Drosophila melanogaster: one gene and its partner. The protein of the gene in region 1 interacts with the protein of each later gene in a pairwise test. Each region holds a gene or a part of one and is shown in the gene's direction. Other genes may lie near its edges.

Region 1 (3,837 bases):
TCAGTGTGCTAATTTTTGGGAATATTTCTTAGACGCGCTCCAAAAATAGAACTTTCCCTACAACAGTAACTTTCCAAAATATGTTGACCCCGCAAATGATTGGGTGAGATGTGCTGACCCCGCCATGGGGGCAACTTTCTTTGCCATATACATAGCTAGAAACCACACACTTTGCTAATGAGTATTTACGATCTTTTTATGCATTTCCATTAGCATCAAATAACTTGGCTGGGATCTCTTTTGCTCGCCCAGCTCTTCGAGCTTATGAATACATTGCGTTCTTTTTCGCATAATTTGGTTATTAAAACATTTGTTTATGTCGCCCATAATGGGCGGCAAATATGTTTTCCTTTTTTTTTCCCCCAGTCCGCCCTTGTCATTAGAAAGAACTGCCAACGGTAGCTGTGGAAAATTTAAATAATTGCCGCGGCAATAACATAAATTAGATAAACCATCGGAGAGGCTGGCAAAAAAAACATGGAGTTCGAAAAAAATACAGCACATAAATTAATCATACCACCCGTGGTCAGTGGCCCAAATTCGGAATTGAGTAGGGCTGAGGAAATCGATTGGTCTCCAATTTCAGCCACTATTGAAGGCATTCAATTAACATTTAATATCGGGAATAGCTCGATGTACCCGCTCTGTGAAAATTATTGTTCTTTACAATTGTTTTGCAAGCCGAAAATAATGGTAATATTTGAAGGAAAATGCAAAAGCAATTGCAATTTATTTTAATTCAGATAGTTGTTTCTTACGATCTTGCATTATTTTGCAGGCGGACTGTGATTTAAATTTAAAGTTCTCTATAGCAAAACTCTTTTGGCCAATACATTTACACTTTTACAGCCAATTTTTAGGCGCATTTTAAATGCTATTTTCAAAATAGCTTTAATTTTGCATAGGTCCTAAACAAAAGGAAGATTATTGATTTAAATTAGCCAACAATAGAAGAACACAAAAAAGAGAGCAGACACTCATAAATTCCATAAAACCATAATCCGTCATGCCATTATTTCGCGCAGCTTATCACTAATAGTTCGATAGATTAGCCACTTAATCTCTGGCACTAAGTTGAGCCTGCTTTCAATGCAGAGAATGGCGGAGAAAAGAATAAATTTCGCACTATGGACTCGATCCACTTGATTGATTTAAATGCTCGTTCCTCGATCCGAATGGGGAACACATGCTGGCTGGCCAAAGAATATCTTTGTATATGGCTATATGGCAGACAGGCAGGCAAATGAATGTGGCCCAAATAAGCCTCGAACTCTGACATCTGCGGGGAAGAACAGTGAGACCTCGCCCACTTCGGACATTGACAAATGGAAACGGTTTGACTTATTGAAAATCTCACTTTTGACCTCAAAATTGGCTCAAGAATTCGCCAGACGGTTTTTGTATTTTTCCGTATTTCTCCAGGCGACCCAAAATGCAAATTTCTCGATTTTGGTAAAGAGTCAAATGCAACTGGAAATGGAAATGTAGCCACCAGAAGTCAACGTTCTGCGATCTCTGGGATGTTAGGAGTTTTTGGGTTCTCTGCTTTTTGGGTTTTCTATTACTGGTTTTTGTGCATAAATCAGTCGACGGACATTTGCATAGTTTAATAATTTGCCAATCGTCCAAGTCCCCACCAATTTCGCTACATTTTACTTTGTTCTGCTGCCTGGCCACCTAATTTCTTTTGTTTTTCGTGTGATTTTTATGTGTCTACGCTGTTTTGCCTGCTTTTCGCCGGCCAGGTGAATGTTCCTTCCCTGTATAAAATGTCTTTGCCGGGCACTTGATGGACCATTTAATAGAGGCCCTCGTCCAGCGACAGACCCAAGCCCAAGTCCAAGTCCAAGTCCACATCAAATCCAAGTTCACAAGAAGATCCCATATATACATCATTATGGCAATTAAGTTGGTAGCCCTTTTGACCATCGGACTGGCAATCTTTGCCGCGTGCGAAGGTGAGTTGGTTGGTGATTTAGGAGACGAAAAATAATCTTTGATGAATTATGTTCGCTTTTCCAATATCCATCAGTATCATACATTCTCTTCGAAATCATAATTAAGTGACGGTTATTAATTAATAAATTGCTTTCATAGTTTTTGAGAAACAAGCAATTTTCATAGTTCTTTGTTAATAATGACAGACTTTTGTTGAAGTGCATTGACTTTTTTTTAATATGTGTTCCTAATATACGATGATATTAAAAGCTAAACTAGTTCGTCAGGGCGAATTTAAACCATTTCTGCCAACCCTATTTCCTAACCCCATGTCTTTGTATCCCATTAGCCCGCCATGTGAGCGGACACCATCGCAGGCAGCATTTTGAGCAGCGTGCCCTCATAGCGAAGCCCCACAGTGGTCCCCAGGGACGAGTCTTCCCCGGTGCCGTGGCCATTAAGAAGCTGGTTCTGCTTAAGTTCAAGAAGATCGTGCCCATCTCTCTGATCCTGCTGAAGTCAAGCAACGAGAACGAGGCCGAGCTGGTGCCCGTCTATCCCACCGATCAGATTCCCGAGAACGTTCAGTTCATCCCGACACCCAATGGAATTTCCGGTCACAAGGATGTCCAGGCCATCGCCATTCCTGCCGAGCTGCACGACCAGCTGCAGATCAACGGTCTGTCCAACCTGGAGAACATCGAGGCTCTGCTGCAGAGCAGCTCGATCTCGGCTGCCGACAATGAAGGCGAGGCCCCCGTGGGCAACAGCATTGCCGTAGCCCAGCCCGAGGATGTGGTACTGGAGCAGCCAGAGAACGATGAGGATCAGCTGTTAGACGGAGCCGCTCCAGTCGCCGCTCCTGTAGCCGTCGCTCCCGCCGCCCTGCGCCGCCTATCCGCCGACGAGCTGCTCCGCTCCGGCGTGCGCAACTCTGCCCAGCAGCAGCAGACCAGCGTGGAGGAGATACCCCTGCTTCTGTACTCCGCCAACGAGGGCTCCTCCTCCGCCGGAAACTCGGGACGTCGCTTTGTGGCCGCCGCTCCGGCACAGCGCCGTCGCCAGCAGTTCTACAACTAGGATCCTTTAATTTAAACAAGCAACCTATCCAAACTTCCACATTCCTTCTCTCGATGGCTGTCACACGGGCTTCACTGTACTAGGTGTACTTACACTACCACTGGCTATTCTACATTTTTTTTTTAGACTGAACTGAATATAAATTAACGTTATGAGCGAAATGACAAAAGAAGGGACTTGTGCTTCCGGGTGGCGAAGGGTCTTCAGTGGGCCCTGGGGTAAAAAGGCCACACTTGGATAAATTGGGGGTCAAAGAAGAACCTTTAAAAAGAAAAAAGTTGTCTCAATGGTAAACCAACCAATTTATTACAACAAAAAGCACTGGTTTTAAAAGGTTCAATTAATCTAAGTTTTATGTTTATAAACATTTAAATATCCACCCCTTTTTCGAGTGTCGCCAAGTAGATGGGCAGATCCTTGTTTGGGGCGCTGCTTATCAGGCGACTGCAGTTATCAGGCCTTTGTGCTCGGGCTTTGTGCCGCTGACGTGACAAGTCCTGTCTGTGTCTCGTTTCGTACTCGGCCTCGTCCTCGACTTTATCCTCATCCCCATCCTCAGTTTCAGTCTCAGTCTCAGTTTCGGTTTCGGTGTCCCGATCCCAGTCCAAATCGCAGTCCCAAAGAGTCCTCGTGTGGCAGCCTGCCAGCAATTTTGAGCCAACAAACAAAGCGGCCACAAAACACATGGCACAAATTTTGCTTAGGCGCAAAAGTCAACGGCACACGAGGCGCAAAGAAAGGCAGCCGCACAACAAAAGCGCCACAAAGATGGGACACGTTAACCTGCCATTCTAATGTGAAACCACGAATAGAGAATGT
Region 2 (4,001 bases), about 17 Mb from region 1:
GCCGCCCCCACTGCCCATTTCCATATCCAAATGGGCGGGCGGTGGGTGGTGTTCCTGGGGCGGATTACTTTCTGGCCGGGCTATAATCTTGCCACGTTAATTGACAGTGTACACAGGTATGTGGTCACCGTGCGAGGTGGCATGCGAGGCGCGATTCTGGCCGAGATGCGTTGACAATCCCATTGCTGGGCCGCATTTCCCCAGTGTTCATCAGCGATCATGCGAATGCAAATAAGGTTTCAATCTGAGATCTAACGGGGCGGTTCCAAAATCGGTTCCAGAGTTAGGGTCGCATGGATACCGCGCATCCAGTTTTCCGTTTTGAGGTCAAACAATGTAAAGATAATCACAATCGGTAATAATGTTTGGTATATATCTTAAAAAATTATAAAATAAAATCTATTTTTACAAATAGTTTGCTATTTACATATACTCCTTCAAGATGCTGATTTTAAGATATACTATCTGGAAAAAAAAGTTTTTATATTTTGATAGTCCACCAGATACCACCAGATATTTTGCTACCACCAGATATTTTGCATACCAGATGGTTGCTGTTTTTTTGTTTTTTTTCTGGAGACTCACATAACAAGTGGCCATTTTTTTCCAATATATTTAAAAATTTAATTACAAGGCAGGCATTTTAAATATAAGCCTTGTAACCCCTTAAGTAAGTCCATTACACTCACTTTAACCACCTATTACCTTGTATGCAAATGAGTAGTTCGGTTTGATTAGCATTCAAATTAGTTGCAAGTTGGCATTTATTTGGCGAAATGTATTTCATTTGTGCATTTAGTACAACTGATGACGTTGAAATAAGTAGTATTGCGTGTGGCATGAGCCCAAATCGCTGATAAAGCTAACTGCAATAAATAATAAATGTAAATTATAATATCACAAAAGGCTTATGTTTGCATTAGCATAACTGAAGCGTACAGCTAAATAGGCCAGAATGTTTACATGCTAGCTAGGTGATAAAATACATTTGTAGAGGATATATTAGATATATAATGGTCGATCGATATGCGATGTTAATATCAGATTCCAAGACTTTCATACGGACAGACATAGCCATATCGGCTTGGCTAGTGATCCTAATTCCGACCAGGATGGCAAGAAGTTCTGTGTGACATACAATTTTCAACGAATCTAGTAACTGGTTTAAAAATAGTTATAGCTGTAACATGCTTAAAAATTTCATAAAATTGTAAATGGTATTTAGCTCAATGAATTCTGAAGTTGGTTAAAGGTACAATATGAAAATGTCCAAAACTTTCGATTTGCCTCTTGCATATCTCAATTTTCATCACAGTATTTAAGCAGTAATTAATGGGTATCCCATTAGTCGGTACTAGACTTCAGCATTCTCTCTAGTTGGGAAACCCGAGTCGGCTTTGACGACTGTCAGTAACATTCCTTTCATTTCGAACGTTTAAAAGTCACAATCCGAATCCCGGTCTAAAATACAGGTCGAATATCGAATCCAAATTTTAATCTTTTGTTAAAAGCCACGCCAATCCGGTCAACAACGATCCAAAGATGTCCGATCATTTCAACTTCAACGAAGCCTTCAACAGCCAGACCATGCGTGGTCGCGCCAATGTAAGTGATTCAGTACACGGCAGTACACAAGATGCGCCCAAATACGCCACCGAAACCCACAGGTAGCCAAGGCCACCTGGGCCTCGTTGGGACTCGTCTACGTCCTGGTCAAGATGCACCGCCGCAACACGAAGCGGCGCGAGACCAAGCTCTACTGCAAGGGCTGCCAGCAGGCCATGCTCCATGGCTAGGGCGCCGATGCTGCCAAATCATTGAAGTCATGGCTCCCCACCGCTCCGACCCATTCGACCCGTCAGCAATCCATAACTATTTATAATCAGCACCCCCTTTCCGGTCCTCGATGCCACAGTTAAAGGCTTGGGGACCAAACTCATGTACCACCTCGTTGAGTCAATAAAAATCGAATCCTGCCAATGAATCGACTTTGTAATCTAGTTGGCCGAGCTTTGCACTTCGCTGCTTGTCATTAGGTTCTCGCTCGGAGCTATAGGCAGAACACACTCAGCTCTCACCCGGACCCGACCCCAAATCCAGATCTCCAGATCTCCAGATCCAGTCCAGTAGCAATGGCCGACGGCTTTAAGAAGTACTTCAATGGGACAACCATCAATGGACGCGCTAACGTAAGAGTGATTCTATTGAACGCACACAAGATAAAATGAACCATCGCTTTGGAGCTGTTGATGGACACAAAATATTATTTTCAGCTCCAAATTGAAATTCAAAATTATTAATTTAACATTTTTTTACATACATTTTTTACAAATACATATACTATGACCCATTTCGCAGGTGGCAAAGGCCACATACGCCACGTTGGCCCTGTTGTTCATCGTGTACAAGCTGCGCCGCGGATCCGGCAAGACCGGCGAGTTGGCCAGCGGCAAGTGCAGCTGCGAATCGGACCACGAGTCGTCCCTCAATGGCGACATTGGCGTCTACGGCGCGGATCCCGACTGCTCCGTTTGCCGGGAGCGATCGGAGCGGGCCATGACCGAGTTCGATCGCGAGCAGCAGCGCCGGGCGGCGGGCGAGGATGACAATGGTTGTCGCGACGATCCGCCGCCGCCACCACCTCCGCCCACATCGGGAGGATCAGGCTCTGCTCCGCGGCGCAAGTGTCCCTGCGAGGAGCCGCAGCGTCGGGCGGAGGGAGCCGTGAAGCATAGCAGCCACAGCAGCTGGGCGCGAGGCCAGCAGATTCAGCCGCCAAACCAGTACCAACAGTATAAACAGCCCGAGGCGGAGCAAGTGCGTCCGGCTAGCCAAGTGATGGGTCAGGTGCACGACGCCTTCTACAGGGTGCTGCGAGGAGTCGTGGGAGCCGTTTTGGGCAATGCGGCGGTCAACACCAGCGGCACCGCTTCCGATTCCCCAGCTCAGGCAGCCGCAGTGGAAGTCTCGCGGGATGAGCTGGACGAGGATGAACGTGACGACGGCCAGGACGATGAGACGCCGTTAAAGCGCCGCACGGCACCGCGCTCTTGCGTGCCCACAGGCAGCCAAGAGAACGCCTCGGGACAGCCGGAGGAACTGGGCCGGGAACAGGCCGACGACCAGCCGCAGGCGGAGGAGCAGGCGGAGTACAGCGCGTTCAGCGATGGCTTCACTTCCGGCCTGTCCTTTACCAGCGATGAAAAGTAGTTGGCTAGGTCTGGGCGTAGGCTTCAAGAGATCTGCTAAATTTTTAGTCTAAAATAAATACGAAGAACTTCTTTATCTCAGCATTATGCTTTAACAATCCATTACTTGGCGCCCCCGGGTGGATCCATTTCTTTCAGTCGTTGCAAGATACTAAATTAAACGGGGGGCAATTGCTTTATAAAGTATTTTATTTAGCTTCCGTTTAGTTCAGATAGAGTTTTCTTTGCGGCATCTAACTTTTAAATAGATCATCATTATAAACGTTTTTAGCCCCTTTGTGTTCTCGGGGTTATCAATATCAATTACGTAGCTTATTAACTGTTTTGGGCGGGGTTCGGACTCGAGATGGATGGGAATGGATTGGATTGGATTCAATTGGGTTGCGTCTAACGTTTAAGCCTTGTGTTTAATTATGAGTGGACTTCAACTAACATTTATATTTAAATTTATATGTATATATAATATAATATGGAAATAACTTTAACGTTTTGCTTTTTGGTTTCATTATGCGATCGACCGATTCTTTCGCTCTCTCGCCGTCTCTCTCTCTCTCTCGCTCTCTCATTCTCTCTCTCCTCATTCTCCCTCGCTTGCCGTCTCTCTCTCTCTCTCGCTCGATTCGTCGTCTTGCTCCGATTCAAGTGCTAATTTAAAATATATGTTTATACGTGTATATATGTGTACGTGTCGCGTGAGTGGGTTTAACTTGAAGGCTGCGTGTGTCCTAGTGGGTGTGGACCGTAAACTGCTGGGAGATTCGCCAGGCTGCCAAGGTCTCCGATGGATCCTTG

What was found.
Region 2: the proteins of CG14424 (region 1) and CG15459 interact in a two-hybrid assay, tested with the Drosophila melanogaster proteins (one large-scale study listed by BioGRID).

Annotation. Positions count from the first base shown.
Region 1 is NC_004354.4:2,925,230-2,929,066, reverse strand, and holds CG14424 (uncharacterized protein), read left to right. Parts: upstream 1-1,808; 5' UTR 1,809-1,897; coding exon 1,898-1,958; intron 1,959-2,287; coding exon 2,288-3,018; 3' UTR 3,019-3,183; downstream 3,184-3,837.
Region 2 is NC_004354.4:20,411,629-20,415,629, reverse strand, and holds CG15459 (uncharacterized protein), read left to right. Parts: upstream 1-2,048; 5' UTR 2,049-2,132; coding exon 2,133-2,189; intron 2,190-2,358; coding exon 2,359-3,210; 3' UTR 3,211-3,289; downstream 3,290-4,001. Other genes in the region: CG15458 (uncharacterized protein), read left to right, coding at 1,543-1,605, 1,668-1,796.